2 linked regions of the Rattus norvegicus genome follow. The protein of the gene in region 2 interacts with the protein of the main gene of each other region in a biochemical or structural test. Links are inferred from orthologs where the notes say so. Each region holds a gene or a part of one and is shown on either strand. Other genes may lie near its edges.

Region 1 (15,723 bases), on a different chromosome or scaffold from region 2:
CTCTCTCTCCTTCTCCAGCCTGTGCACAACTGTAGTCATCCACCAACCAGGAAGAAGGCCTCACTAGGAACTAGATCTGCTAGCAACCTTGATCCCAGACATCTGAGACTTCAAACAGTGAGACACAAATGTCTATGGCTTGAGGCACTCAGCTCAGGATACTATGCTATCGTGGTCTGCACTCTCTATATTGTCCTATACAATCCATAGAATGCCGAGCACACAGCGTTCAACAGCTGTTATCATAACCCAGAGTTTCAGCAAACACTGTACACACTCCTACACACATGTCTGCCTACACTGTTTCCCCCACTTTCTTCTCTTCTCACACCTCTACTCACCTAAACCTGCAGTTATGGATGGGGTCAGTAGGAGTCAAGTGTCGCGCTACATACTGCAACCCCTGTGTACCAGCAGCTGAGGCGGAAGGAAGGATTGCTCAGTGAGGTCATGCAAGCATGAGGACCTGAGAGGACTCCTCAGAACCCATGTAAAGGCCAGGCGACACAACACAAACTGCAATCCCAGAGCTGGACAGGTAGTGACAGGAAGCCCTGGGGCTTGCCAACCACTCTGCCAAGTGGACTCTGACCAGTTCCCGGTTCAGTGAGAGACTATGTCTCAGAAAATGAGATAGAAAACCATTATAGAAGTTACTTGACATCAACCTCTGGCATTATGGGAGGTGTACACGCACACGCACACACGTGCGTATACACACACACCACAGAGAGACAGAGACAGACAGAGAGACAGAGACAGAGAGTTAGTTCCAGGCAAGCCTGAGCTACACAAGCCCAGACTGTTATTTTGTCAGCAAAGGAAAGAATAAAACAAACAAACACAGTAGAAGTGCTTTAATGAAAACCATGGCCAAAGCAAGAGGAGCAGCTGCCTGAGGGTCTGCTCGATCCTCCATAAGCTTCCAGACAGCTGCGAAGCTGCACCTCATGCTGAAGACAGGACAAGACACTGGGCAGGAACAAATGACGGCCACATGGACGGATAACTTTCTGCTTCCCATGAAAGCAACCCGCCCTCCTTACCTCATCACCTTAGAGAATCATCCCCTCCCCCCACCCCCTGCCCCATCCACTCCCCCCCTCCCCTACCCACCCCCGAGCGCTCAGAGGCTGGCACAGGGCAGTGCTCAAAGTGCAGCAGCAGCAAGCCAGGCAATCACTCCGGTTCTTTTGTTTGGTCCTAATGATGGGGGGCAGGGGAGGTACTCCAAGAGCCTTCCCGTCCCCCTTAACCATTTGTTGAAGCCACAGCTGTTCTCCCACCGAACGCCAACGGCAATTAATCTCTGAAATGCCTCAAAAAGAATACATGAGCAAACAACTGAACTCTAAGGACAGTCCTCCTTCATCCAATGCAGCTGCTGTGAAGAAACTAGGTAAAGACGGAGGCTGCTTGTAGTTAAACAAATCACGTTTTCCTTTACTAATGGCAAGTCTAAATCCCAGTACTATAGCCATGAGAGAGAAATCAAAACAAAGCGCGACTTTCGAAAAATTATGTATTGTTTTAAAAAAAACTCATTAAAGACTTCAAAAATAAAGCAAATGAATCAGGAAGGAAAAACACAAGAGCCAAGAACAAGCAGCCCTGCGCTCTGCTGCTTAGACACAACCCATCAATGTTCCCCACATTTTCCCCTGGTGTTTTACATAACTGGAATCACAAATTGTGGTAGTGGCAGCCCTTGTCCTTTAAAGTGCCTCATAAACATCTCTCCACGTTTTTCTTCGTAACTTTGCAGCTACACAGAGTAGATGACAGAAAAAGACCATTTCCTTCCACAACAACTACTACAGTAAAAACTGAGACTACCCTGACGCTCCTGAAGCCACCGAACTAAAATAAGATACACTAAAAATGCCTAGACACAGAGAGTGGTTAAAAATGTTAACTGGCTTTCAAGTGACAAAGACAGGCAGGCAAGGCTTGCCAGAGCCATCTCTGTCCTGGGTCAGTTTCTTTTTTAACATCACTGCTAATTGTACTCACACCACTGGCCAAAACCCAGTGTGAATGGTCATACACACAAGGGCTGGGCTCCTCACTCACTGTGTGCCCCACTGTGGTGAATAGTGCCTGACTTAAGTGCTGGCTGGAAAGAAATGAACTACAGACTATGAAATATGATTGTTCAGACAGGGAAGGTTACTGTGAGTCGAAGTCCAGACATGACAGACGATATGACTGTTAGAATCTGATTGTAACAGTAACTGTAGAAACAGAGTAAATCAATTGCAGAGTACCCAGTTCTGGTCCCAGCACCTACACAAGTGTTTACTCCAAGCCACCTGCTAATTTCAGTTCTGAGGACCTGACCTCTTCTGGGCATGTGCATACATACGGTACATATAGAGATAAACAGGTACACGTTCATACAAATAAAGTTATGGGGACTGGAGAGCTGGTTCAGTGGTTAAGAGACTGAAGAGTTGGTTCGGTGGTTAAGAGACTGGAGAGTTGGTTCGGTAGTTAAGAGCATTGGTTTTTCTTCCAAAAGCCCTGAATTTGACTCCCAGTTCTCACCTGGCAGCTCATAAGCATCTGTAACTTCCGTCTCAGAAAATCTGAGGCCTTCTTCTGGCCTCCTTGGGCACACATGGTGCACAGACAAAGATGTAGGCAAAACTCTAGTACATACATGTATGTGATGGTTTGAGTAGCAATGGCCCCTATGGCTCAAACATTTGAATGCTTGGTTCCCAGTTGGTCAAGCTGCTTGGGAAGGATGGGGAAGTGTGGCCTGGGTGGAGGAGGTGTGGTTTTTGAGGTTTCAAAAGCCCACGTCATTCCCAAGTAGCTCCTTCCTTCTTCTCTTCTTTCCTTCCCTCCTCCTTACGGATTAAGATACAAGCTCTCAGCTACTGCTCCAGTGCCATGCACACCTGCCTGCTGCCACGCTGCCCACCATGATGGTCATGGACTCTCACCCTCCAGAATGGTGAGCCCCAAATTGAGTGCCTTCTTTTATAGGTTGCCTTGGTCCTGGTGTTTGGTCATGGCAACCGAAAAGTAACTAAGGCAACACAAAATAAAACATTTATTTGAAAAAGAAACTTTTGAAAGAAAAGGCAAAAAGACCTAAACAAAGAATCTTCCTTACAGATTGAGGAGCAAAGCAGCACTGCAAATCCTGCTGCACACAGTGATGGTGCAGGGGTGAAAGACAATGCAGGGCACACAATCAATACCACAGAGAAGCAAGAAAACCAAAACACCACAAGCGGAAAGAACTCTGCTTCCTGGGACATCAGGAACAGGCAGATGTCTGTGCATCACCACAAGCGGCAAAGAGGCAGCGAGTTAATGCTCTAGGCTCCCATTCAGTGGATGGTGTCCTTGCTAATCTGAGTGTAAAAGAATGTGCTTACCCAACTTAGTTTCCAGTTCTCTTCATATGCCAGTGAATATATATGTATACAGTGCTAGAACTCAGAGGCATGTGCAAAGATTTAAAATGTGCACTCAGCCCAAATGCCATCACACGCACAGACCTGACTAGAAACACCTTGGGAGAAAAACTAGAATCCGCCTCCCATCGCTAGGCTGTCCTCAGCCAGCTGCACACTCTAACTTCACTCACTCACACACATATTTTCTTTTCTTTTACCACACTTGTGCTCTGAAAGAATTCAAAGGATTTACAAAGAAGGAATTTGTTAATACCGCATCTCTAACAGCTGCTAGTGCTTGGGTGCACTATGGCTGTGGCGTCTTCTATCACAATGTACAATCAGAAAGCATGCTTGTGCATCTGCCGCTTTTCAGAAAGTGGACATAGGGCTATTCCTTGGGGGCTGCCCTGAGAGCGCCTTCCACAGAGCATAGGAGATGGAGCACTGTGAATACTGCAATTACTTAATGACTAAGATCTCTAGCAGACACCCATTCGGTCTCCTCAGCCTGCATTGTGACCACAGACAAGTCATTTGAAGATGAGAAGCAGATCCAAGTTTTGGGATCAGCTGTCCTTTCTTTCTCTTAAAAGTACAGGTACGACCCTGCCAATGACTGTGACAATCAAGTAATCAAAAGGAATTAAAATGCCGTAAAAGGGTAGAGGCTATCTGTTCAGGGCCCTGAGTTCAATCAAGCAATCAATCGATCCATGTAGGCCACTCTAAACCATGGTTCAGGAGTCCAAGTAAACGGAAGAATTGGAATAGTTGGTCCGGAATTCCTGTACGTTTCATCTCGCAAACTGTCTTCAAGAGTACAAACTGTTGTTCCAGTTCTAAATAAAGTCTTCTCTCTGGCACACCAAAAATTCTGGAAAGTTACTGACTTGCTACATAAGCACTCAAAAGGGGGAGGAGGCATATCATCTGTAAGGCTGAATCATGCCAGTCACCGATCTCACAAAGGAATATTATACATATACAAACAGTCCGTCTTTGAACGCGTGATAATTTCCCTAAACTGATCCATAATAAGAATTGCCACTGTCGAATACAATAAACAAGCGGCCAAAGACCGAACTGGCACAGACTAGAGACTTCTAAGTTTACCTCTGCATGCTTGTTTCTTCATACACAGAACAAGAGAACCAGTAACACAGTCTTATCAAAATGAAATAATTCACACTAAGTTGTCCTAATACAGCCCAGCAAAAAGCAATTACATGGAATGTTTACTATGTTTGAAATTACCTTTTTTTTTCTTTTTAATTTTTGAAATATGGTCTCTGTCTAGGCTGGCCTTGAAGAACTGGCAGTGGTCCTCCTGCCTCTCTCTGCCCCTCAAATCCTGGGATTACAGGCATGTGCCACCACATCCAACTTGGAACTTGTAAATTTTTTGTGGTCTCGCTCTGCCCCCAGGGTAACCTAGAACTCACTGTATATCCCAGAATAAAAAAGCTCACAGTGATCCTCCTGCCTCGGCCTTCACGGCATTGGGATTGCAAGCACTCGTCACAGCAGGCAGGAGCTGGCAATTTTAAACGGAAACGGTAATGATACCAAGTGAAAAGCATAATCCTAAAAATTAAAAAGGCACAGCTGTCCCCTATGAAGATGACATGTTTTTAAAGGTTTTACTTTTACTTATGTGTGAAGGGACCATATACATGTATGAATGTGAGTGCCTACAGAGCTCAGAAAAGCTTGTCAGATCCTCTGAGGCTGGACCCCCTTGCTGTTTGAGTCACCAACTTGGGTGCTATGAACAGAACTTGGGTCCTCTGCCGGCCTACCCCTCTGTAACCACTGAGCTCTCTCTCCAGTCCCAAGAGTACCTACAGCGTTCAGGTATACGTAAGCTAAAAGCTATATAATAGGAAACTCTTTCCTTTCCCTCAATACCAAGAAACCCACCAAATTAGCCCCACCTGAGGGGTAACATCCGCAATGAGCCCTTAGCAGTTTCTGCTTTTTACTAACAAATCACCAAGCAGGAATGTATCCCTGAAGTCAACTGCAAACTGTTTCTCCAATAAAAGCTGCAGATTTTCATGTTAGCAAATCTCTTCAACAATAGGGAGTTGTTCTGGTCTGTGAATAGGACGTGTCAGGACATGTCAGTGTGACGGACACTGTGGGAGCAGGACATTCCTGACACTCCTCTCTCCTGGCTAGCCTCTGCTCAGCTCTATCTCCCAACTGCATTTGGTTTTAAATTTTCTAAATCAAGCAAAATATATGGTCACAAATACGGGCTAAGGGTCATCCTTACTACAGAAGCCTGTTTCCAATATTTCAGCACCAGAACCCCTGTTTTCCACCACCACTCTGCGCACCCCACTAGAATAAGCATCAAACACAAAACCGCTTTGTTTTCTTGCCTGACCACCCCGCCTCCCAACAGGGCTTTGGTGTATTAATTTGTATATCTTGGAGAGCATCGTGGGCGGCAACAAATCCAAGGAACAAGCCAAGGGTTGAGGAGTGGTCCGGGTTGGGTTACCTTCTGAGTAAGGAGTGGAGTCTTATGCAACCTTAAGTTTGGCACTACTTGTGTGGCCCCTCAGTTTTGAAATTAAAAAAAAAAATTTTTAAGAAGACTATTAGCCTCTGAAAATTGGGTTCACAAACCAAGTTTGTGAACCCACTTCACTGAGCTGTTTTAAGAACTGAGATAATAGCTTCAAAGTGCCCTGTGGTATTTATGGAAAGTTAACTGCAAAGTAAACTTTACAGTGCTTTTGCCCCACAGACCAGGGAAATAGTGTCTCCCAGGAATTCCACTAGAAAGAAATGAGCAGAACTTTCAAGTTTAGCAGGGTGTTGGGATCAAAATGACCCTGGTGCTACTTGGGAGTCAGGGTCTCCACCACGCTGCAACAAAGGTGCTTATCCCTATGCAGCCCCCATCTCCGCACAAGGATGGCGGGCCTTGCCCAGTTCAGCTTCTTTGTTGACCCCAGCAGCTCCCGGGAGGACAGGCCTCTGGAGCTTCCCTAGCTGCTCGTCGTCCACGACTTCTGGGTACCACAATACTGATGGGGTGTTTTCTCCAGCAAGTTTTAGAGCCCGTGAGGCAGCTGCCACGGTCCTTCTAGAGGGCCGTGTCCCTGTCCGGGACCAGTCGCATCCACGCGGGTCAGCCTGAGACCGGACCCGACAGCCCGCTGAGCCGCGCCCGCCACGCTCCGGCAGAGGCCACCCCTCAGCTCCTCGGCCGGACCTGGAGTCCTGGGCGCAGAAACCGCTATTCCACCGCGGCCCGGGTCGCTCTGTCCCCATCGTCACAGACCACACTTCCCAGCCGCACTGAAGCGTCAACTCACCCCTGAAGAGCAGCAGCAGGAAGAAGTCGGGTAGCCGCGCGCACAGGCGAAGTCGCAGCCGCCGGCTCAGCGCCATGTCGAGGGGAATGTGAGGGGCTCAGGCTTGGAGCGTAGAACTGGCCTCGTGCGCATGCGCTCACACTGCTTAGACCCTGCGACCCGCCTCCAGTTTCCATAGCGACCACGCGGCCCGGCCTAGCCGGCACCATAGTGACCGAGAAAGCTCCAGTCTGGTTGCTATGGATGCAACGATGCTCAGCGCTTCCAGGTGCTACCTCTGTCAATGAACTTAGCCGGAGGAGAATTAAAAAGCGTGTCTGGGAAGGAAGCGGGGTAGATTTATGAAACTGTAGATTATCGCTACAGATCTAAGAAGGATTACTCCATTAAAATTTAGGCATGATGGGGCTGGAGAGATGGCTCAGCAGAGAAGAGCACCTGTTGCTCTTCAACGGCCCGGATTCCATTCCCAGCACCCATATTGTGGTTCACACCATCTTTAACTCCAGTTCCAAGCAATCTGACACCCTCTTCTGACCTCTGACGGCACTAAACGTGTCTGTGGTGTGCATACATACATGCAGGCAAAACACTCATGCACATGAAATAAAATAAACCATTTTTTATTAGAGAAATTATTTTACAAATAAAGATATGGCCATATAGTTTTTTTTTAAAACAGTAGTATTTTCACACCTGTAGGGCCCCTGATACCATATGTAATGAAAGGAGAAAATGCTGAAATCTGAATAAACATTAGCAAGATATACCCACTAAATAAATATAATAACATGCTATATAAGTATGATTCATTTCTCTGGTAGACCTGAAGCCTAATGGTGTCCCCAATAGTGTGTCCTACACAGTACAAGTGTAATTCTTGTCACTTGAGGGTTTTTTACCCGTTTTTTTAATTTTTTTCTGAAAATGTATTATATAAGTACACTGTAGCTGTCCTCAGACACACCAGAAGAGGACATCAGATCTCATTACAGATGGTTGTGAGCCACCATGTGGTTGCTGGGAATTGAACTCAGGACCTCTGGAAAAGCAGTCAGTGCTCTTAACCGCTGAGCCATCTCCCCAGTCTCCCATTTTTTTGTTGTTTTTTGTTTTGTTTTGTTTTGTTTTTGACAGAGTATTATTTATGTAGCCCTGGCCACCCTGGAACTTGAAGGCTAAATAGACCAGGCTAGTTTCAAATTCTCATAAGTCCAACTGCCTCTGCCTCGAAGTGCTAGTATTAGAAGTAAGCGCCACCATGTCTGGATTTTTTTTTATAATTTTAATTATATGTATGTGTGTATATCTGCATGTGAGTGTGTGAAAATAATTGTAGGTGCCCAGAGAGGCCAGAGGAACAGAGTTAACAAATAGTATGCCTGGTGTGGGTGGTGAGAACTGAAATTGGGTCCTCTGGAAGAGCAGCAAGTGTTCTTAACTGCTGAGCCATCTCTCTCTCCAGCTTTTTTTTTTCCATTTTAAAAATGGTTCATTATTTTATCATCATCATCACCATCACCATCATCATCATCATTTGTATGTAAGAGTAGGAGTGAGTGGCAGGAGATATATGCCACAATGTGCATGTGGAGGTCAGAGAACAATTTTGTGAGGTTGACTTTCTTCCACCTCTACGTGGGTTCCAGGGATCAAGTTCAGGTTTCCAGGCTTTAGGAGCAAGGGTTGGCACCCACTGAGCCATTTTACTAGCCTTGCTCTGAATTCTGAATAGTAGGAAGTGGGGAGGGGAGGGAAGGAAAATGCAGTAAGATTTTATAAGCAGATGACAAGGAGGATAAAAATGAACCGGAGGTGGGCTGTGGTGGCACATGCCCTTAATCCCAGCACTCAGGAGGTGGAGGCTGGTGGATCTCTGTGAGTTTGAGGCCAGCCTGGTCTATAAAATGAGATCTAGCCCAGCCAGGCCTACATAAATAAACTCTGTCTCAAAACAACAACCAAGAACTGGACATTAGACCTAAGGACATTAGACAATCTGGACTGACATTTAATACAATGGAAAACTCTTTTTTTTTTAAGATTTATTTATTTTGTGTATATGAGTACACTGTCACTGCCTTCAGACACACCAGAAGAGGGCATCAGATCTCACTGCAGATGGTTGTGAGCCACCATGTGGTTGCTGGGATTTGAACTCAGGACCTCTGGAAGAGCAGCTAGTGCTGTTAACCGCTGAGCCATCTCTCCAGCCCTGGAAAACTCTTGAGAAAGGTTTGCACCATGTTTAATATTAGAAAAGGCATCCCTAAAATTCCAGAAACAACACAATTAAAACTGAGCCTCTGAGAAAGTGTGCCAGAGTTCCCAACAACTGATACTACTATTCAATGGGTAACAAAATAACATTTCAAGAGATTTGAAAGGGAAAAGTCCCTGCCAAGTGTGTTTCAATTTTCATTTCCACATGACTGACCCTCAGTCTACATTTTATAAATGTTCAAACCTTTATAAATGTGAATCGATTATTCCACCACAAACCCAGAAGAAGGAAAAAAAAAACTAATCCCAAACATCAGGATAAAAATTTAAAATAACCTATTGTAATGCTACTTGTCTTTTCATTCCTTCTGTTTCTGGTCATCATGCATGTACGTCATAGGCAAATGTGTGTAAATGGTATTTCTCATGCTGGCCTCTCTTTCTGCACTAAGCACAAAACAAAGTGCAGTTTCCTGGGAGTTTCTTTAAACCTAATTGTTGGGGGAGGGGTGTTAATCTGTTTGTTTTTGTTTGTTTGTTTGTTTGTTTGTTTGTTGTTTTGTTTCTTCTGCTCTCTTTTCCTATGTTCATGTGCTCAGTCATATTTACCTAACTGAAGAGAACCATTCTGATTCCTTGGGGACCCTGAGATGGCGTCTGACTGTAGACAGAGCACCGTTATTTAGAAGCCAATGCTTCCTTTCTCCTGCTAAATTCCTGTGTTTGCATTATGAAAATGGTTCTCTCTGTTCAATGCCCTTCTGTTTTGGAGCTCCTTTTGAAATACGGGCAGGAGATTACAAGAAAAGACTTCATGAATATTCTATAAAGGGCAGAGGTTCCTGGGAGAGAGGGTGGCAGGTGCTTCACTGTAAAGTACTGACTTCCCTCCACAACAGAGGTCCCATGTCATTAGCAATGGCCAAAGCATGTTCTTGGAATGGAAATGCAGGTGGAGATGCTGCTGCAAGGCAGGGTAACACATTTGTCTGTGATGTGTCTGTTCTTCCTGGAGAAACTGAACTCTGCTCAGCCTGAGTAAGTTCAATGAGCAGAAGGTTCTGGAAACATTTGGTAAGTAGAGCCGGAGTCTGTGCCTTTAACCACAGCACACGTTATCTGAATGCATTCGTTCTAGCGTGAAACATGTTAGAAAGAGATACTTTCTTTTTGGGTTTTTTTTTTTGAGACATGGTTTCGCTGTGCAGCCCTGGATGTCCTGAAACTCACTCTGTAGACCAGGCTGGCTCCAAACTCAAGAGATTTGCCTGCCTCTGCCTCCTGACTGGTGATGTAAGAATAAACATTTTTTAGTTAACTCCACTACAAGCACTCAGAGACCTACTCGTACCCAGCCTGGGAACATGGCTTCCTGTTCCAAGAAATAGGCTAACCACAAGACCATCTGGCCCGGATTACGGCTGGTTCCATAATTCTGAGAAAGACAAGAGCAGGAAAATGGTTTGCTTTATAGAGTGTGCCAATTTAAATGAATCAATGAAATTGTTACCTGCCTACTGCTCCCCGCCTGAGTAATTTTCTCTATAAAATGAGCCCCGAAATTGAGTTCGGGGTTGACTCCTCTGTCTCCTGCGTGAGATACATGTCGTCCCCAGAGCTCTGGCTTCCCAAATAAACACTTGCCTGATTGCATCAAGATCGGCTGCCATGAGTTCTTGGGTTCGCGTCATCCCGGTACTGGAGTAAGTAAGATTCTCCCACTTGGGAAGGACCTTTCAGTGAGATTAAAGGACTGAGCCACCACTGCCAAGCTGAGAGATGCACTTCTTAAAAGAGCTAAAGAAATTAAATCAGCATACGCTGAACTCAAGAGTTTTACAATATTGATTAATATGAACATAAAAAGCAAATCAGGGGAGCTGGAGAGATGGCTCAGTGGTTAGGAGCACTGACTGTTCTTCCAAAGGTCCTGAGTTCAATCCCCGGCAACCACATGGTGGCTTACAACCATCTGTAATGGTATCTGATGCCCTCTTCTGATGTGTCTGGGAACAGTGACAATGTACTCACATATGTAAAATAAATAAAGCCTAAAAAAAAAAAGCAAACCAAGAGGCAAGAGGCAAGGTTCCCTACTTGATTTGCCAGTGAGCACAGCAAATGTGTCTGTGTATTTATGCTTATCTAAGATTTGGATTCCTTACCTAGAAAACAGGGACTCATCCCAGTGAACTGATGGCCGGAGATTAAACAGCTGAATCACAGATGGAGCTCAATGCAGGTTTACTGCCCAAATTTCTTCTCTTTCTCACTCTCATGCTTCTGATAAGCATGATACAAATGGGTCAAAATGGCTTCAATATTCTACCCGGACTTTGATAAATAAAACACTCCCAGCCTTCAGAGACGTCAGAGGGAATGATAAACAAAGGAGAGCTTTAGTGGATGTTTGCTTTTTCTTATATTCTTTCTGCAGTAATTGTAGGAAAACACTCAAGACCCCAAACTTACTATGCAGACCAGGCTGACCCCAAATTCACAAAGATCTGCCTGCCTCTGCCTAGCAAGTGCTGAAACTTGCCATGTGAATTCCGCATCACCAGCTGATATTATTATTATTATTTAAAAAATTACACAATCATAATTTTGTTTCTTTCTTTATGTCATTAAACCCTGAAGTAATCACCTGAATCCAGCTTCTCCATCATGAGAGAAAGGAGGGAATCCTTCTCTTTTTGGGAGACTTGACACCCCCCCCCCCAAAAAAAATTTCTCTGCATAGCTTTTTTGGGAGCTTGGTCATACGCTTGTTAATCTGTTTTTCCTTTCTTTCAACTCTTTTCTTTGCAATATTTCTGACTACACTCACAACATTTTACAGAAACTATTATCCTCTTGTCTTTGTCTCTGAAGTAGTTTAGTTTTACTTAAGTAAGACTCACCCTTCTCCCACTGACCTGATGAAATAGTTGCAGGTACATCCTCCTCTTCCTCCTCTTCTTCTTCCTCCTCCTCCTCCTCCTCCTCCTCTTCTTCTTCTTCCTCCTCCCCTTCCTCCTCCTCCTCTTCCTCCTCCAATAAAATGTGCTGTCGTTCACTTGATTTCCATATTCCTCTCTGTGATTCAGTTGGAAAAAGGTCACACTTTTATCTCAGCACTCAGGAGGCAGAGGCCAAGGATCTCTGTGAGTTCCAGGCCAGCCTGGTTTGCAAAGCGAGTTCCAGGACAGCCAGGACCTGCACAGAGAAACCCTGACTCGCAAAACCAAAATAAATAAAATTAATGAATTAAACAAACTCATCTCTTAGAATCCCAAGTGTAGGTGCTTCTGTGTGTGCCTTCATATACTCATATGTCCCAGGGGGAGGGAGTTATGCTAGTTCAGGGGTTGAAGTATCTGGGGCGCTTTACTCCCCAATACCCGTTAAAACACAGTACCACTGGCACTGCTGAGGAACCTCAAGGACACCCTGAACTACCTGGGAACAATATCAGGAGCAAGTCTCGTCTCTGAAGAGCAGGCTAGACCACCTCCTGTTGCAGTGCGCCTAACCTGTGGCCCTTTATGCTATAGCTGTGTGCCTCCAGCAGACTGCAATTGCTTTGTTTACAGATTGGAGATATTTTTATCCCAGCCCTCCAATTAGGGGTAATTTTCATTTCACACAAATTGCACCACAGAGTGTTTGCTTCCTTCAGGCACCAGGGAGAAACCAGAAGCCTGTGCCCTCACTCCCCGTCTGCTGTGGGGATCGTGTGACCTCAGTAGAGACCCTGCTAGGTCCAATTTGGTGTTTCAGGCCTCTGCAATGAGCAGAGAGTCTTAGCCTATACTGCTCAGGCCTTTCCAGAGATGGGTAGGGAGATTCCCCTGTAGCTGCCCCTGCACAGATTCTAGATACCATGCTCCAGAATTGGGAGCAGTGGGGATTTAATTCTATTTCCTGGGTCACCTACCTACATGGGGATGACACAGCCGTGTTACGCCCCACGGTGGGAATTGACCCCAGTCATCATAAGGCTGTTTAATAGGTACATCCGGTTCTGATCAAGGCCCAAAGAGAAACCGGTCTTGAAATTTTAGCAGCTTATATAGGTCTCAGGCTCTCACCCTCCACATACACGGTCATCTTTAAATCTCTTTCAGGTCCCTACCCCAAGTTACACTTTGAGCAATTAGACACAGACAGGAGACTGTACGTCTGACTGTTTGGACAAGTAAGAGACGTACTCAGTAAAGATATTGTCACAATTATTTTTGAAGTAAACCAGTGTTATCCTTTTCCAGCACTTATTACACAGGGTCACTGTGCCTACCTCACAGAATTATGTGTCTCCTTATAGTTGAGTGGGTGGGACTTAATGGTAGCTGTGATCCTGGAGCTCCCCATAAATGTGTGCTCTTCAATATGGGACTGGGCACCAATGGCCAGTTGTAAGCCAGAGTTGTCTCTTTTTGTTATGGGGAAGAAGGTCTAACTGGTGGCAATCTTGTTTTGTTTTGTTTTGTTTTGTTTCAAGGCAAGATTTCTCTGTGTACCTCTGGTTTTACTGGAGCTCTGTAGAAAAGGTTGGCCTCAAACTCACAGAGATCTGCCTGCCTGTGTCCGGGGCGCTGGTATGAAAGAACCTCACCACGGCCCTGCTAATTGGCGACAATCTTAGCAAACAAATCTTGGTAGACATGTTTGTTCAGCAAGCTAAACTTCAGTTATGCTAAGGTACAAGATTTCCTCCTGGCGAGCCTGTCAGGTTGTTCATTACCTTTGACACTGGAGGCACAGCTCTTCTCCAGGTAAGTTCTACTTTGTGTAGCTTGGTATTTTCTTAGCAAGTTAAACCCATTATATCATCAATCTTCTACCCCAGTTTCTCCTGCACAGGGATAGGAGGTAGCTTAAAACCTTGTAATAATAATAATCACAGCAGCAACAACAACAAAATCCTTGACCCTCTTGTCACTGCCTAGTTAAGAATGAATCAGTAGAGGGCTGGGGATTTAGCTCAGTGGTAGAGCGCTTACCTAGGAAGCGCAAGGCCTTGGGTTCGGTCCCCAGCTCCGAAAAAAAGAACCAAAAAAAAAAAAAAAAAAAAAAAAAAGAATGAATCAGTAGTTTGGAGAAAGGGCTCGACCATTCAAAGCTGGGCTCACAACCAAGAAGACAAAAAATGAAGGAGGAAAAGCAGCTCAAAGACCCTCGAGTGGCCACAAAACTAAAGGACAGACAGATGACAGTAGAAATGACTAGTTGTGCCTCTACAAAAGGCAAACTCGTGACAAATATACATATGGCCAGCTATCTCCTATTTCAAACACCCATCCTGAGTTTTGGTCCCCACAGACTAACCTTTAACCAACTGCAGTATTAAAGTAGCATTAATAGAATGCACTTTTATTTCTTCAATGGTTAGCCTAAGGAAATGGAACACAGTTTGGGGGCCAGGGCAGGTGGGTACAGTCAGAACTGACAATATTCAGCAGAGTCTTCCTTAGCGATGCCATTGAACCCTGCACAGGATAAAGAGCTTGACTCACCCATCTCTAAGAGCTCCTCTGTTTCACAACCTTTGATAGTCTGGCGCTATATTTGAACCCATTCCTTCTTTCCAGGCAACGTTTTGTCTTCCAGGCAGGCCCTGATCCCTAGAGTGCAGGAAGGAAATAGGCAGTTTTGCTAAGCTTTGAGACACAGAGTCAACATATGTCCCCCGGATAGGGTCGCAGTGCAGCTGGAACTGACCTAATGCAACTTCACCCTGGTTTGTCTGTCTTGTTGTACTGGTCTACAGGCAGCTCTTTCCATATGTAGACATCAAAATTGAGGCCAAGATAATAATAGATACTTGATACCTTTAACTAATTAATAATCAATACCTCTAGAATGAAGGAAACACTCCTGTGTCCTGTAGAATTAACAACTGGCTAAGGTGTTTGGCTTGAAATTTCTCTTCCTCTTCTTCCTCCTCTTCCTCTTCCTCCTCTTCTTCCTCCTTCTCTTCCTCCTCTTCATTCTTTTTGAGACAGGGTCACTTTGCATAGCCTTGGCTGGTCTGAAACCTGCTATGCAAAACAGACCAGCCTGAAACTCACAGAGATCTGCCTCTGCCTCCCTCGTGTTTGGAACGCCCGGCTTAACATCCTGAAAGGCCTGATTTGTTCCTTATGCCCTTTAGGTTCCTTAGTTATGACTGAAGAAGTCACAGCTAGAAAATCAGTTGTTATATTTGTGAGCATCACAACTTCAGTCTCTTGCATTATCTTTTCCTCTCCTCTTTAGAACCTGCTTACACTGAGGACCTAACGCTTCTCAAAACTCCTCCGGCTGTCAGAAAAACAGTGCCTGTGTGAGACGTCTGTCTGAATTTCCCTGCCTGTTCTCATGCTCACTTCCGAGCTCCATCATGTCCTGTGGATCTACTCCAGATATAATGTCCTTACAACCACGAGGATTCCCTAGTTTCATAGTGCCCTGAAATGCCACTTAAATGTTTTTTTTCTTTCCAAATATAACATATGCACCTATCATTTATTCTGTCCTGTATTAGATTGTACTACATATTTCCTTCGTGGTCTGCATAGACTTCAAATCTGTTTTGGGCTTTTCTTTTGTGTTAGCCTATGGGTTTGAGACCATAATCCCTTTGAAGAAGAGCTTTAGCTTCACCCATAGCCAAAATATACTGCCTTCTTTGATATGTGGTCTCAAGTACTTCGTGACTTCATTTATGACCACTAATATTTTTTTTACGATTTAATTTTATTTTATGTGTACGGGTCTTGCCTGTATGT
Region 2 (15,728 bases):
ACAGTCCCATTTGGCTGAGAGGCCCCAAGCTTGCTATGCTAAACTATTTCAGAGGATGACCCTGAACTTCTAACCTGCCTGCCCCCAGCTCAAGAGTGAAGGGATTTCAGGTATGCCTCCCCAAAACTGGTTCTATGAAGTAATAGGGACTGAAGCCAGGGCTATTCTTGTGTAGGCTGGGTAAGCAAATAAACTAGCAGCATCCTGAGTATCACCTAATGGTATAGATCACCAAAGATAGAAAGCCAGACATAAGGAAGCAGAGCGCCAAGAAAGAAACCCATTTCCACAGAATCTTTCCAAAGTTTGAAAAGAAAAACAATAAGGAGGGTGGGGGGTTGGGGATTTAGCTCAGTGGTAGAGCGCTTGCCTAGCAAGCACAGGGCCCTGGGTTCGGTCCCCAGCTCCGGAAAAAAAATAAATAAATAAGGAGGGTGGGGGAAGAGAACCAAACATTTTTCTGCTTTAGTCACTAAACACTAAATTTACTTTCATTAGAATTTGATTCTCTAAGGCCAGGCCCAGTAGCACAGGCCTTTAATCCCACCACTTAGAAGACAGTGACTAGAAGGCAAGGGTGGGAGTATCTCTGTGTTCTAGGTGGTTTCATACAAAGCTTCATAGAGAGAGCCTATCTAAAAAAGAAGAAGTAAAAGAAAAGAAGGGAGGAAGGAAAAAGGCAAGGAAAAAGAAAGGAAGGAAGGAAGGGAGGGAGGGAGGGAGGGAGGGAGGGAGGGAAAGATTTTCTAGCAAGGCATGGTAGTACACATCTGTACCCAAAGCCAGGAGGATCATCACAAGTTTGAGGCACCCTGAGCAGCATGGTTAAAAAGAGACTCAAAAAAAAAAAATCAAAACAAAATAACAATAAGAACTATTTTCTATTTTCTGTGTTAAACAGAAAAGACACCAAAACTATTTAGCGTACGGACCACAAGTTCTACTGCTATTGACTTAGGTCTAGATAGGAATGTAGAATTAATGGCTATTCAGGAGGGAGGGCCTAAAATGCCAACTCCACCCAGTGGAAAATCACCTATGGAAAGAACCTACTGCCCTAATTTCCCCCCATTTCCTCTCATTTCCAACCCTGAAAAGACAGAGAGTATAACGTGTGTGTCATCTGTTGAGTGTTTGCCATCACCAACGCCACAGGAAGGTAAGAACCTCCCAGGACAGGTGGAGGATCTGTCTTCAGGTTAATGGTCCATATGGGACTTTAAACATTACCTCCAACAAGTAATTCATCCATGAGGAATTGGAATCACCATAAGCCAACCAGTGCTTCTCCTCAGCCAGATTCATTCTGTGAATCTCAATTTCTAAACACTTGCACTCTCTTCTGGCCCAGCCCCAAGGATTCACACTGCAAGAAATGGAGGCACTAGACCGAGCCTAAGTATAGTCAGGGCCAGATTCCCACACTGCTTTGGCCACATGCCTTGAATCTGACCCAGTGCAAACCCTAGGACTAAGCTCTGCTTGGTCTCCCAGACAAACTGAACTCCTTGAAAATAGCTGACATGAAAGAGAATCTTCCAGACACTCTGAGCTCTCTTAGCCTTAATTCTGATTATACACTATTTGTGCTACACTCAAGTAGTAAGTCCCTTCTAACTAGCAAGTGGGAATCAGTATCTTCTCAGAAGGGTCCTTCCTGTGGGCACTTGTGTGCTGATGTTTTTATTCTCAGCATCACCCACTCTTTGTGATGTCTGTATAATATACGTCTGCTGAACAAGTGAGACTGTGGCAAGCAAGGCACTAGCATCAGCCATCTCACCTGGAAGAGAATCGCAGCCCCATTCTGCCTATCTTTGAGTTCTATAAAGTACAAGAGTTACAGGAAGTCCTCAGGAGAAGCACAAAGTAAAGAGAGCCTGAAACACCCAGGTACAGTACCAGACAGGGCTGGCCTAAGCGGAGTGTCAATGGAAGCCTGGAGAGAGAGAGAGAGAGAGAGAGAGAGAGAGAGAGAGAGAGAGAGAGAGAGAGAGAGAGAGACAGAGAGAGAGACAGAGAGAGAGACAGAGAGAGACAGAGAGAGACAGAGAGAGAGACAGAGAGAGCGAGAGAGAGACAGAGAGAGCGAGAGAGAGAGAGAGAGACAGAGACAGAGAGAGAGAGAGACAGAGACAGAGAGAGACAGAGACAGAGACAGAGAGATCATTCTAGGTAAAGGAAGCAAGAAAGAGGGGAGGAGGCTGGAGAGTACAGGAAAGTCAGAGGGGTATGGACTCTGAAGTAGAGGACTCAGAAGAGCAAGAGATCACTACAGAGACACTGCCCCTCGCCTCTGAGAGAGGAGGGCACTTTAACTATGTTTCTTTTTCCTCTTTGAAAGACAGAAAATGTTGCAAATAAAAATGTCTTGTACTTCACTAGTTTTGTTTTAATTCTTCCCGGTATCTTTTCTCAATCACTACCACAATGTAACTTCCATCAAGTGTCAAGAAAGTTTGCAACTGTGTAGCAAGATGTTGCCATGCATTCACTGCCCACCACCCCCCACACACACACACACACACACTTCATACCAACCACTAGGTGGTTCATAAAAGGCCTGATTCGTAAATTTAGTAATTAGTAATATCCTAAAGAAAGTAGTTTTTTTTTTACAAGTTCCTGTGCATATGTTTAAAACAACTTATTTATTTTTGTTTCTTTGAGACACTCACTGACTAACCTGGAATTCACTATGCAGACCAAGCTGGCCTGGAACTTGTGACCTGTCTTGCCCCTCCCTCCCAGGGCTTAGGTAACAGAATTATGGGTATGTCCCACCGCCTCCCCTCCTCTTTAAACTGTATTTTAAACAATAAATTGCTACTAAGTTACTCTTAAGAGACCGGTTTGAGGAGTAGAGGCCCAGCCAGCCCATCTGAAACACTTAGAGCAGCTTTGGCATTCTCTGCCCACTACATTCAATGAATCAATCTCTCCTTCTGACTGTACCATTGCATAAGCAGGTTTTAAGTCCACCTATTCTTCAATTAAATTACACTCTAAGCAAAAGAAGAAAAGCCAAGCAGGAACTATGGGATGGAGAAAAGCCGAGGGTGTTCCCTGGATGATGTGCACCAGTGATACAGTCCTTTACTGAGCAGCTTCTACAGTCCGGATCTAGTTCAGAAGAATTCATATTCACCAATGCTCAACACTCTTTTTAATCCTGAAAGGAAGATGAGGAAGCTGAGGCTCTATAGGGTTAGTTTGCCTGACCTTAAACAGCTAATACAGCTGGGTTCCCAAAACTTTTCTTCCGAGACAGTCTATAAGGAGAAGGGTGGTGAACCAAGGGCTTGCAGCCCACCCTCTCTCATCTTGTCTTCAATCCCTTCTCCTGTCTACAGGAGCTTTTCATCCCTACTAAGCCAAACTCATCCGATCAGCAACTCGTCCTGTCTCTTCTGTTACCAGACCATATGACATCCCAGAGTCTCTCCCTGGCATTTCCTGTCCTCCACAGCTTGATCCAAACATAGGCCCTCCAAAACCCCAATGTTTCTGTTCTCATGATGCCTTTCCTCATACTTTTAGGATGGCAATACACTCTCCAGGTCCACACGCTCTCCTCACTTCACCACAGAACTGAGGATCCAGAACTCTCACACAGCAAAGCAGGAGCTTTCTGGAGTCACTCAGCTACTCAGTTAGAAAGCAGGGCCCTAAATACAGCTAGCCATCCCTCCCACCAAGCTCAGTGCAAAACCTAATGACTTCATGGTACCCACCACTGCATAATGGTGGCTCCTGCTGTGAAATTCCATAGCTTGACATTTAGTACACAGCTTCTCTTCAATAAACCCCATGCTTAAAACTAAGGTTCTGATTGCACCAGAAATGATAAGGCTCAGAACACACACATAGAGACACAAATAGTCCTCCAGTTGGACACACTCAGTAGAAGATTCCATGTAACCTGGTCCTCCACAGCTAGCACAGCATCTACTAAACCCAGGGTCTTGATGGTAGTGGGTAAAAAAGGACAGACAGCCATTTCACCTTTTGACTACAAAAATGTTTTCACACTAGTGAAAAAAAATATAGATTATATATGACTAGGGGTAAGCCGTGAAACACTGGCTTCTTAAGGATATTTCTAGTGCTAAGACATGGCATTAAGCTGGCCAGAAATTGATTTCTTCAACCTACAGAGAAAACAGCTCAAATAACATAAACAGAATACAAGAAAATTAGCCCCACCATATGACAAAGTGCTTAGTGCACAGAAAGCTTGTCTGGGTGTTTTCTGTTTGTTTATTTTGTTTTATTCTGTTTTTTAAATCCAAGTTCTTTCCCTTCTTTTTTCTTCTACTTCATGGGTTTTTCATACATTGAACATGGTTTGCTTGTCCACATTTTTCCCAAAAGGTGGGAGCTCATCATGTCTTGTGTCACCTAGCAACCTAAAGCAAGATTTTACCATTACCTGGCTACCCAGTTCTTTATGCAGGATCTACCGTGTTTTATTAAGCAGAAGAAATAGGAGAACAGAAGTTGCAACACTAGCAATGTTGATATGTTTGCTCCCTAGTTGTCTTATATGGGATGGGAGAAGTGTGAAAGATTAATCTCGGCCATTACCTAACCATCCAAGAGGAAAAACAGCAAATGGATGAAGTAGCTCCTTTAAGCCTTTAAACACTTGTAAGCTAAACTGTTTGTTTTTTGTGTGCGGAAGTTTTGTATGAACGTATGTGTACTACATGCATGCAGTATGTGTACTACACGTATGTGTACTACATGCATGCAGCGCTTACTGAGACCAGAAGGGCATCAGATCCCTTGAGACTGGAGTTACAGGTGGTTGTGAGCTATGATGTAGGGGTTGGGAATCCAACCCAGGTCTTCTGGAAGAGCAACCAGTGCTCTTAGCTGCTGAGTCAGCTTTCATTTCTCTAGTTTGGGGGTTTTGGCTTGTTTATGGCTATTTCATTTTATTTTATTTTATTTTGAGACAGGTTCTCACTATGCAGCTTTGCGTGGCCTGGAGCTCACTCTGCAGATGAGGTTGATCTTGAACTCAGCAGAGATTCACCTGCCTCTGCCTCCAAGTTGGGAGATTAAGCTATGTGTCATGAGCCCAGCCCTGTGAACACTTATGAGTCAAAAGTCTTGTGATCCAACAGTTCAACTGCGAATGCTGCAAAAATCTATCTTTTGCAAAGAGAGGTATATGTAGCCCTGACTGGCCTTGAATTCCAGATTTGTAAGATTTTATCAAATCTTTCTTTTTAAAGTGCAGAGAGAAAAGATACCCAGCAATGACTTTTGGCCTCTGAACACATACAGAAAGATACACACACACACACACACACACACACACACACACACATAACACACACACATACACACACACCACACACACACACACACAACACACACACACACACACCCCACCTCCTAAACTGAGTTTTTGGAACCAGTCAATCACCCTTGACTGCCTTATCTGTAACTCCAATGTCACAATCTCTCATTCCTCCCACCCGGTCTTCTCACAACTGTTAGTCACACAGCCCGTCTACTCTTTCTGCGACCCTTTCACCACCCCTCTCCCTTCGCTGTGGAACAGTCACTGCTGATAGTGAAGACCAGCCCACATCTATCAGCAAGAGCCCTCAACTCCATCCTTCAACCTCCCCGGGACAACATCTCCCCACGGCAAACACCACAGCTGTCCTCACCTGAGGAATCACAAGAACCTTGTCTCAGACTCTCACAATCTATCATCTACAACGAAGCCCATGGATCCCTTTGATGCCCAGCACCCACAACACAATAAATACTCAATATGACTTGAAATAGTGAGTGTTTAATTCCTATGGAAAATCAGTAATGCAGTCAGTCAGTGGCCTGTGTGTATTTCCCAACAGGCAACTTGACCATTGCCCAGGGTGTGCAAGATAAAACACGGCTAGTTTTACAAACAAAATCAGCGAAGCAGAGGCCAACATTGTCATGCTGTCTGAGCTGGAAGTAGGCGCACCTCTATATTCTACATATGTTACTGCCATTTTTCTTTTCTTTCACAACTAATGGTGTTCGTCGGCAGAATACAAAGACAGCCTGGTTTTCCCTTACAATGTTAAATCACCAACTGTCAGTCAGAAATGATGCTTAAAACACTTAAGTGTGAAGTTACAGAGGATTTCCCCTCTTGTCAGCTTTACAAGATAAACAGGTGCCCAATTTCCACTAACGTTGTTTGATTTTTCAATGAGTTCGACCAACTGGAAGAACACTTACAGCTGTTGAACTCGGCATCTCCTATCCCTGTACCAGATTCCCAACCATCACCCAAAGTTTCCTTAAAAGAAAAAAAAAAAATCTTGTTATTTTTCCAACACAGACTAAAAACAAAACAAAACAATGGTGTAACCATTTTGCCCTTTCTTAATTTCAGAGAAAAATGGAGGGTGGCCCATGAGCATTCGGCGACATAGGCAGACAAAGCCACCTTTTCCTCTTGCTTGCTTCCGAAGTCACAGAAGGCAGGCCACTGAACAGACAACAGACAGGGAAATACCAAAGGGAACACATTCCACTCTCATACAAAGGAAATATCCTCAGGTGCTAGAACGAAACTTCAGCGTGGGCTGTTGTCAAACACAGAGGGTAAAAGAACCTACAAAACGCCCTTCCACTTCTGACCTATTATGGAGGAATGCGGTTTAATGGAGACAATGTTCTTTATGAGGAAAACAGAGAAATCGAGGATACTCCGACCCCAGGCCCACACTGGAGCACATCCAGCTAGGTATGGGTAAAGATCCAGAGGGAGTTAGCTCATGGGCTAAGCGAGTCTAGGCTGAGGTGTTTTAAGGAGCCGAGCACCAGAGCCACTCCATCGCCCCCACCTTAGCCCATCAGCCTGGCCGACCCAACCAGGGCTGCCCGCGCGACCCGGAGATCCCGCAAGAACACAGAGGGTACATGGCCCGCCTGCGGCTCCCGCGTGTACCAGATCGCTCAACTCTTTCCACACACCCCAAAGTTCCGTAGGCAACCCTCCGGGACAGGCCTGCTCCGGGAGAGGCCTGGAGCTGGATTGCCAGGACCCGCAGACGGTCGGGCAGAGGCGCCCCGCCAGGCAGCGCCGCGCCTCCCGCGTGCCGCACTCTGCTTCGCCCGGTGCCGGCTCTGAGCACCCGGCCGCCCACTCCTAAGCCCGGAAGACCCAGACAGTGTCCAGAGACCGCGCGGGTGGCGATCGCGGCCCAGCTGGAGAGCGCCGAGAACTTTACGGCCGCGGGTCCGGGCCGGGGGCGCCGGCGAGGCGGCCCAGCTGCCGCACTTTCCCTTTCCCCGCCTCCCGGTCTCCCTCCTCCGTCTCCAGGAAGCGCCATATTGATCCCCGCGCCTTTCCCCCGTCCGCTCCCCGCCGCGCGCCCCAGGCCACTCACCTTGGCCACGGCCTTCCGGTAGCGGGTCACCGCCTGCTGGATAAGGCTGAAAACTTTCATGCGGCCATCTCCGCACGGCACGACCACCCGGGTCCTCCCGAAGCACACGGTCACTTTCATGCCGCCGTCCCTCGCCGTCCGTGGCCCGAGCGCCGCTGGGCCGGGAGACTGTACGCAGGGCGCGGTGGGGCCGCTGCGCCGGCGCGCCGGCGGCTAGGGGCGCGAGCAGGCGGCCGCACAGAGCTGCCCGGCTACCATGTCCAGCCCGGCCGCCTTCACTTGCCCTCGCCTGTCCCCGCCCGGGCGCCTGCAGCCTCCGGCCACCTGTTCGGCGTCTCGGCGTCTTGGCGCGCTCGGCGGCGGCCCGGGGCCGTGTGGCGCTAGCGCTTAGTCGGGACTCCGAGGAGGGGACGGCGAGGCAGGGAGGAGGAGCAGCAGAGGGCTGGGCGCACAGCACCGCGCGCAGGCGGCAGGAGGAGGCGCAGGGCGGGGCGCCCCGAGGCCTCCGCCGCTGCCCGGCTGCTCGGTTCACCGCACGGCGACGCGCGTCGCAACCCGCGGCGCTGTGCTTGGGCCTGCGCGGGGCAGGGCGCGTCCTCCTCCAACCCACTTGCCGTAGGCTGCTCTAGGAGGTCTACTCCGGGACGCCCCACCCTCACCCCCAGAGGTCTCCAACGAGGTCCTCTTCCTTTCTTTGTGACTTTTAATCCCCTTCCTGGGAGAAAGCAGTTTAAGTTCGGAAACGCTTTTAAAGCCCGAGAGCCACTGAGCCGCGCTCGCGAAGAATGGAAGCGGACTATGGAGGAAGCTCCAAGCCAGGTCTCTCTCTGCCCCGCGGCAAGGCAGGGTTTCTATCCTAAGTGCCTGACTCCGGTGCAAGGCCGGGCGGCGCTGTTCTGTAGCAGAGATTAATTGGCTGCTCCCGAGAAAGGTTGGAGACGCGTGGACGCCCTGGTACTTCCTCTTGAGGCCACTATTTACCTAAAAGTTTCTTGGTGACCCACTTGTTTAAATAAGCAGGACTTAACACCGCAGTTCAAATACATCTGTTTCTTGAAAATTCCTCAATCTAAGCAACCTAAAACCCTCTGAAAAAATACCGCCCGAATGCTCAAAGGGAAGGCTGTTCTAGATAGGATATTCCCTCGCTGCTAAGGCTGCCTCATAATTCACTGACACACCCCCAACTCCAAAGAAAGTGGGTGATATACAAATTCTAAGATGTTTAATAACAACGTGGACCAAGTCTAGACAAGTGACTGGAGCTGCTTTCCGTCTTTCTTAGAAGATGTGGTCCCTAAATAAATGTTAACGTTGTCTTCAAAGAATGGCAAACTTCAAGAGAGCCACTCGCTGATGACCCGAGTTTATCTCACACAATACAGTAAGTTCAGTTTGGCAGTTAATTTGCATGATATTTTGAGCCTGTTAAAGCGCCTGTGAACCCCAGGATTTGAGCACTTACAGCTGGTGCTGTTGTCCATCCATCCCTCCTCCCTTTTTAAAATAAGCAAAACAAAGAAGTCCTTTGGCTTTTCAGAATCCTGCAGTCTCCTTGGCCTTGCGGCTCTAGGTCAGAGGAAACATCACATTTTTTCCCGTCTGACTACTCTTAGTCCACCGGATGATCGCCGATCCCAGCAAACGATACCATCATGAATCATCCTCTCAGGTGTCCGTCGAGAATTCACTCTCCCAAAGCCCACAAGAGAATGCTTGAAGGCACGCAGCCTTGGGAAAGACTCTTATTACCTCTACATGACTACATCATTCTACTTGTCTTCAAGTGATTATGCTGGTCACACTATGTCAGTGAGTCCTGCTGAGGTTTTCTTGTTTTGGACTTTAGCAATGCTTGGGTCCATGGGCCAGCAAGACGGCTCAGCCTGCATTCTAACTGAATTCTGAATTCTAACTCCAGATCCCACCAGATCCCACGTGATGGGAAAAGAGAACTGCCCCACAGTTGTTCGCTGACCTACACACACACACACACACAGACACACACACACAGAGAGACACACACACAGAGAGAGAGAGAGAGAGAGAGAGAAAAGAGAGAGAATAGAGAATAATTAAATAAAATATAAATAAAAACACTTTCGCCCACAAATAATTATGGGTAATTAGAGTTGGTGTTTCTGTTTTTCCACATGGGAGGAGTATAAAGTTGCTAGTGGGCTTTGTCAAAAAAAAAATAGCACTGATTTAAATTAAGTTCTAAGTTTTAACACTAGTACTTTCAACTGTGATGTTCACACCCTCTCCAGCCTTGTCTTTACCAGCTGAGGAAAGAAATTGGTGAGACGCATCTCATAAATTGTGAGGATCGAACAAAATTTTATATTAAAAATCTTAATATATGCTAGTACGTGAGAGCACATAATATAAGCAGCCATGGTTTAAAGGATGCTAACAAATGACTGAGGAAGGTGAGCAAAGAAATCTCAAAGTCAGAGGCATAACTGGGCAAGGGCTGGGATATACCTAATAGAATGCTTATCTAATATGTCCAAAGCCCTGTGTTTGGTCTCTAACGCTCCATTAAAAACTGGCTCTCGTGGTCCACATCTGTAACCCCAACATATAGCAAGTAATTTAAAGATACATAGCAGGTAGTTCACAAACATATAGCAAAGTTCAAGAACAGCCTGGACTACATGAGACCCTGTACTGTAAATAATAATGGTGATGGTGATGGTGGTGGTGGTGGTGGTGGTGGTGGTGGTGGTGGTGGTGGTGATGATGATGAATACTTTATCTGGCTAGTTGAATAGAGATATGGTTATCATTAATCGTATACATCACAGTTGAAGATGTCCTAAGCTTTGATAAACAGCTAAAGAGATGTCAATCAAATGTCTCCTCTCTTGAAAGTGTGCCTCCCTCCCTAGTACAGCACCTTCAACTTGAGGTCCTGAAACATGGTAACATCTTAAAATGTAATTGCTGGAATATTTACCATATACTAACCTTTCCATAGCTCACTGGTGTAGTTCTGTAACATCCTCAAAGCTTTTGTTAGGTGGGTGGGCTCAGTGCCTGCAGGCGGGACTGAATTCCCATGCCTTGGAGTCTTGAGACATCTTTCCATTCAGATCCTAAACCAGCCATATTGAGTAATTGTACTGAGTCCTTTTTTTTTTCTTCTAGATATAGTTTCTCGTAGTTTCTCATGTCCAGGACTGGTCTTTAACTCATTATGTACTTAAGGATGATCTTGAAATTCTGAATCCCTTCCCCTACCCTCCAAGTGCTGGATTACAAGAATGTGCCACCACCCTTGGTTTACAAAATGCTGGTGGTATTATTATCTGGGGCTTTATACGTTCTGACCAAGCATTCTGCCAACTCAGATGTATCATTAGTCCCTGCTTTTTACATACATGAACAATGAATATGCTAAAAATTAATAAAAAACTAATGCTTTGTAATTTTTTAGATGCCAGACACTTTGCTGTCTTAAAAAAAACATAAAATTCTATGACAAATAATTTATTTCTGCCACTATATTCCTCAAATAACATCTAACCATAAAGATGGATCATAGCCAAACCTCCTTCATGTCAATAAAATATTCAGCTTAGCAAATAGCTTCTCGTCTGAGGTAAGCACTAAAGCAAACCTGGTCTCTTTGAGAAACAAAATTATCAAAGTCAGGGGTCAAAGGTCATTGTGTAAACATCTTATAATGCATTTGCTTTTTTATATTCTGCATTTTCTAGTTAAAAAATAATCAAGGCCTTTGTATTTCTGTTTCACAGCTAATTGATTCAACTGGCTATGAATACCCCAGAGAGTTCTGAGACTTAATTAGGGTTTATCTGGGCTTTGTGCCTATGTTCAGATGGGTACATGTGACCCCACAGAATATAACTTCAATTCTATCCAGCTACACTCACACCCTTCATATGTGTAGGGAAATCATTGTACCAAGCAGCTCACACTTAGAACGTTAATAACTCAAAACGAAGGAGGTAGGAGCTGGGAAGATAGTTCCATTCAATTCCCAGAAACCTTGGGTTGGGTGAGGGTGGGGGGCAAAAACCAAAACAAAAGCCAGGTTTGGTGGTATACATGTAAACTCAATGCCTAACCTCAATGTGGAGAGGAGGAGACAGGTGGAGCCCTGGGGCTCACTGACCTACTTGGAGAGTACATATATAATAATATACATATACACATACACACATATATGGACAACACTTGAGGAATGATATTGAGGGCTGTCATCTGGCCTTCACATGCATACACTCACATGTGTGCATACACACATGCATGATTACTCACAAAGAATAAAGACAACATGTGAAAGTTATATGCCTACATGAATAAAAGAATGAAGACAACATGTGAAAGGTTTTTGAAATGCAGTCATCCTGTGAAGAGTATTATCTCCAAGGCATTTCACACATGTGTATTGCTTACTCTTTGATTACACATCCGAGAAATGTTTACACCAACATATGTCTGCCCTACCCACAAATCAGAACATTCAGATCTGTCACACTCATTCAGTAACAGCAATACGTTTTTATATCAAGCCTTAAACCACACATTATAGGATTCTTCCTCAAGAGGAGTCCAATCTGGTAAAGATTTCAGAAATGAATGGACCATGACTGAAATATGCTCACATGCTACATAGTGCAACCACAGAGATACCAAAAAAACTATTCACTCTCTCTGACACAGAAGGAAACGGCCTTCTAATTTTATCCCAGAGAAATACATTTTTGTGTATACAAGTAACAATAGTTACTATTTTATGTATTACAAGTAACTAATGGCCACAAATGAAATTAATTGTAACAATGTAGTTTATTTAACCAAAGACAATACATAGTGCTATTTGAATGTACAGAAATAAGAAGGGGTCTTGCCTTAGAGTCCAGGCTGGACTAAAGCTTACTAAAGTGTCCCCCAGTTCTGCTTCAAACTTGCAATCCTCCTGACTCATCCTCACAAGTGCTGCAGGCACTTGCACAATTTAATACATCTTTGTATTCATATTTCTTGGCCAGGTCATTTTGATCCTGTGCATGACTGATGTTCAGGGCACAGCTCAATTTGGATCAGCCACATCCCCAGAGCACAGTAGCTGCCTGTGGTCAACAGAGGCCACATTAGACAGCATAGTTCTGGAGTTCAGGTCAACCAGCAGACAAGACCACAGTGTGATGTCAAAGAAGAGAGTCATCAGTGGATTGAACACTTTGAGACAGAAACTGCTTTTCACAAGGTGGTGTGAGTTTATGCCTCATGACTGGATGAGGGGTATATAAGTGATGAAATATGGAGGGATGGAAAACAGATATCATCCTGAACTGCTGCAAATTGCACAATAACACAGAGTATAACAGGCAAAGATGGGGCTGGGGGCTGGGGTCAGAGTGCTTTGCCTAGTATGTACAAAGCCCTGCCTATTAATTTTGATCCACAGTTCTATATAAACCAGTCATAATGACACATACTCATAATCCCCAGGACTCAAGAATTGAAGACAAGGGAACCAGAAGTTCAAAATTATCATTGGGCTGGGAAAATGGCTCATCAATTAAGAGCACTGGCTGTTCTTCCAAAGGATCTAGGTTCAATCCCCAACACCCACACAGCTGATCACAAATATCTGTAACTCCAGTCCCAGGAGATCTGGCACCCTCACACAGACATGCAGGCAAAATACCAACACTTACAAAACTAAACATGCGGGCAAAGATTGTTTTTGGTTACATATTGGGTTTGAGATCAGCCTGATCTACGTAAGACTGTGTTTCAAAAGGAATAAGGAGCTGGCTCAATAAGTAAAGTACCTACCATGCAAGCACCCATAAACGACAGCTCTACAGTACAGTGTAGCCCTGGAGGGCAGAGACAAACAGATCTCAGGAACTCACTAGCCACCTGATCTAGCTGAATGGACCATTTAAAATATAAGGCGATACCAGTGGATAAAGGCAATTGCTGCAGACCCTTAAGACATGAGTTCAAGTCCCATTATCCACATGATAGGAGGAAAGAACCAACTTCCATGAGTTGTTCTCTGACCTCCCCAAGCATCACACATGCACCCAAAAATTCATACACAAAATAGTAAAAAAAACAAGTAATAAATGTTTAAAAAAAAAAAAAAGCCATGAAGTGGAGCCCTGCGTTCAATTCACAGCAACGTAAACACCTAAGCATGGTGGTAAACATGTGTAATCGCAAAACTCTGGAGGTGGTGTCAGGAGCATCAAAGGTTCAAGCCTGTGCTAGGTTTAGCTCATCAAGTAAAGTACCCACTTAGAAGTTCAAGTACATATTGGGTTCAAAGCAAGATAGGATGTCATAGGACCCTGTCCATAAGCAAATAAACAAACAAAAAAAGCCACAACTCCATTAAAAGACATGTTGCTGGAGTTGAGAAAGACTCCCAAAACTGACTCCTGGCCCCCTCAGTACATATATGAACACACACACACACACACACACACACACACACACACAAACACACACACCACCATAGGGCACATAATACTGCTCAAAGGCTCAGCACAGACCCCTATTATTACAGAACATTAAATGCAAATGTAAAAGCACCATGTCCCCCTGAGCACAGGAGCTCTTGTGACTTGCATAATTAGAGTAATGGTCAGCAAAGGCAAGCAAAACCAAAAGAAGGGGGGCAGGGAAGGAATATTAACTTAATGATCCTCAAAGTGTCAAACACAATCATCAGACACAAGCATGAGGAAGGACAGAAGAAGTGGCATAGGACTAGAAAGACCCTGCCAGTGTTCCTTGACCCAAATCATCTTACATGGAGAATTTTGATGTCCCCTTTCATTAGTGTCCTCCAATGACAGCCAACCCATCAGCCTGAGCTGACAGCACACGTCCTATATACACTGACTGTAGTCTATCCAAGCCCTCCCCTACCCAAACTCAGGTTCCTTTGAGGTGCCCCTGGGTCAGCCTCTCCAAGCACGTGCCACTATGTCTGCTTTGTATTGGATTTTGGAGAATTGGAAATCAGGTTCCTAGGAACCTGTCTCTAAGCAAACAGACAAAAACTAAAACAAAACAACAACAAAACAAAAAACAAAAAAACACAACTCAATTCCATTAAAAGCCATTTTGCTGAAGCATCCAGAACATAAGTCAAAACCATTTACCTCCTGGTGGTCAGCCTGAACTGAGGCAGAATTCCCAGAACTCAATGGCATGGAGAAGTGACTCCATGTGAAGCTTTGTTTAAGGAAGAGGAGGAGGAGGAGGGGGAGGAGGAGGAGGAGGGGGAGGAGGAGGAGGAGGAGGGGGAGGAGGAGGAGGAGGGGGAGGAGGAGGAGGAGGAGGAGGAGGAGGAGGAGGAGGAGGAGGAGAAGAAGAAGAAGAAGAAGAAGAAGAAGAAGAAGAAGAAGAAGAAGAAGAAGAAGAAGAAGAAGAAGAAGAAGAAGAAGAAGAAGAAGAAGAAGAAGAAGAAGACGACGACGACGACGACAGGGAGTAAAGACAGGCCAAGCTGTATGACCAGGATGTAAGAAAAACACTGACTACAAATTGTCCTATGACCTCTACACATCTTTGTAAACACACACAATAAATGTAAAACAAAATGTATTAAGATGGCTGGCAAAGGGCTAGAGAGATGGCTCTGTGGTTAAGATCACAGGTTCGGTTCCCAATACCCACATGTTGGCTAACAACCGCCTATAATTCTAGTCCTAGGGCGCCCAGTGCCTTTTTCTGCCCTTCCTGGACATTGCATAAACATTGTGCACAGACATACATACAGTTAAAACAAATACACATAAAGTAAGAATAAATACAATCTAAAAATGTGTAGGTGCTGGCAAGATGATCCAACAGGATAAAGGCACTTACTCCAAATCTGATGATGTGAATTTGATCCCTGGGAACCATATGGTGGAAGGAGAGACTATTGTGGAAAGTTGTCCTCTGGCTTCTGTACTTCTGTGTATGCACATGTGCAGCTGTGTGCACATACACACATGAACACAACACACACTAATTAATGATAATAATTATAGTTATAGTAATAATTATAATAAGCTGGAGAGGAGGGTTCATGATTAAAAGCATTTGTTGTTCTTACAGAAGACCTGGTTTTGACTCCCAACACCAACTCGGTGACTTACAATCATCTGTAACGCTTCTAACTTCTGTGAGCAGCAGGCACTCCTGCATGCATACATACATATAATATGCATACATATAATCAGCCAAATACTCACACACATAAAATATGTCTAAATACTAATAATAAGTAAACAAATGTGGTGAACATTTCAAGAAGAAAGAGGGGCTGAGGAGATGACT

The links.
Region 1: the proteins of Pard3 (region 2) and Jam3 form a complex in vitro, tested with the Homo sapiens proteins (2 studies listed by BioGRID and IntAct, with this or other methods). The link is inferred for Rattus norvegicus from reciprocal best matches to the Homo sapiens genes PARD3 and JAM3.

Annotation. Positions count from the first base shown.
Region 1 is NC_086026.1:33,821,611-33,837,333, forward strand, and holds the start of Jam3 (junctional adhesion molecule C precursor), read right to left. Parts: upstream 6,842-15,723; 5' UTR 6,825-6,841; coding exon 6,749-6,824; intron 1-6,748. UniProt on the Homo sapiens protein: Junctional adhesion protein that mediates heterotypic cell-cell interactions with its cognate receptor JAM2 to regulate different cellular processes. Plays a role in homing and mobilization of hematopoietic stem and progenitor cells within the bone marrow.
Region 2 is NC_086037.1:71,969,560-71,985,287, reverse strand, and holds the start of Pard3 (partitioning defective 3 homolog), read right to left. Parts: upstream 7,786-15,728; 5' UTR 7,527-7,785; coding exon 7,407-7,526; intron 1-7,406. UniProt on the Homo sapiens protein: Adapter protein involved in asymmetrical cell division and cell polarization processes. Seems to play a central role in the formation of epithelial tight junctions. Targets the phosphatase PTEN to cell junctions.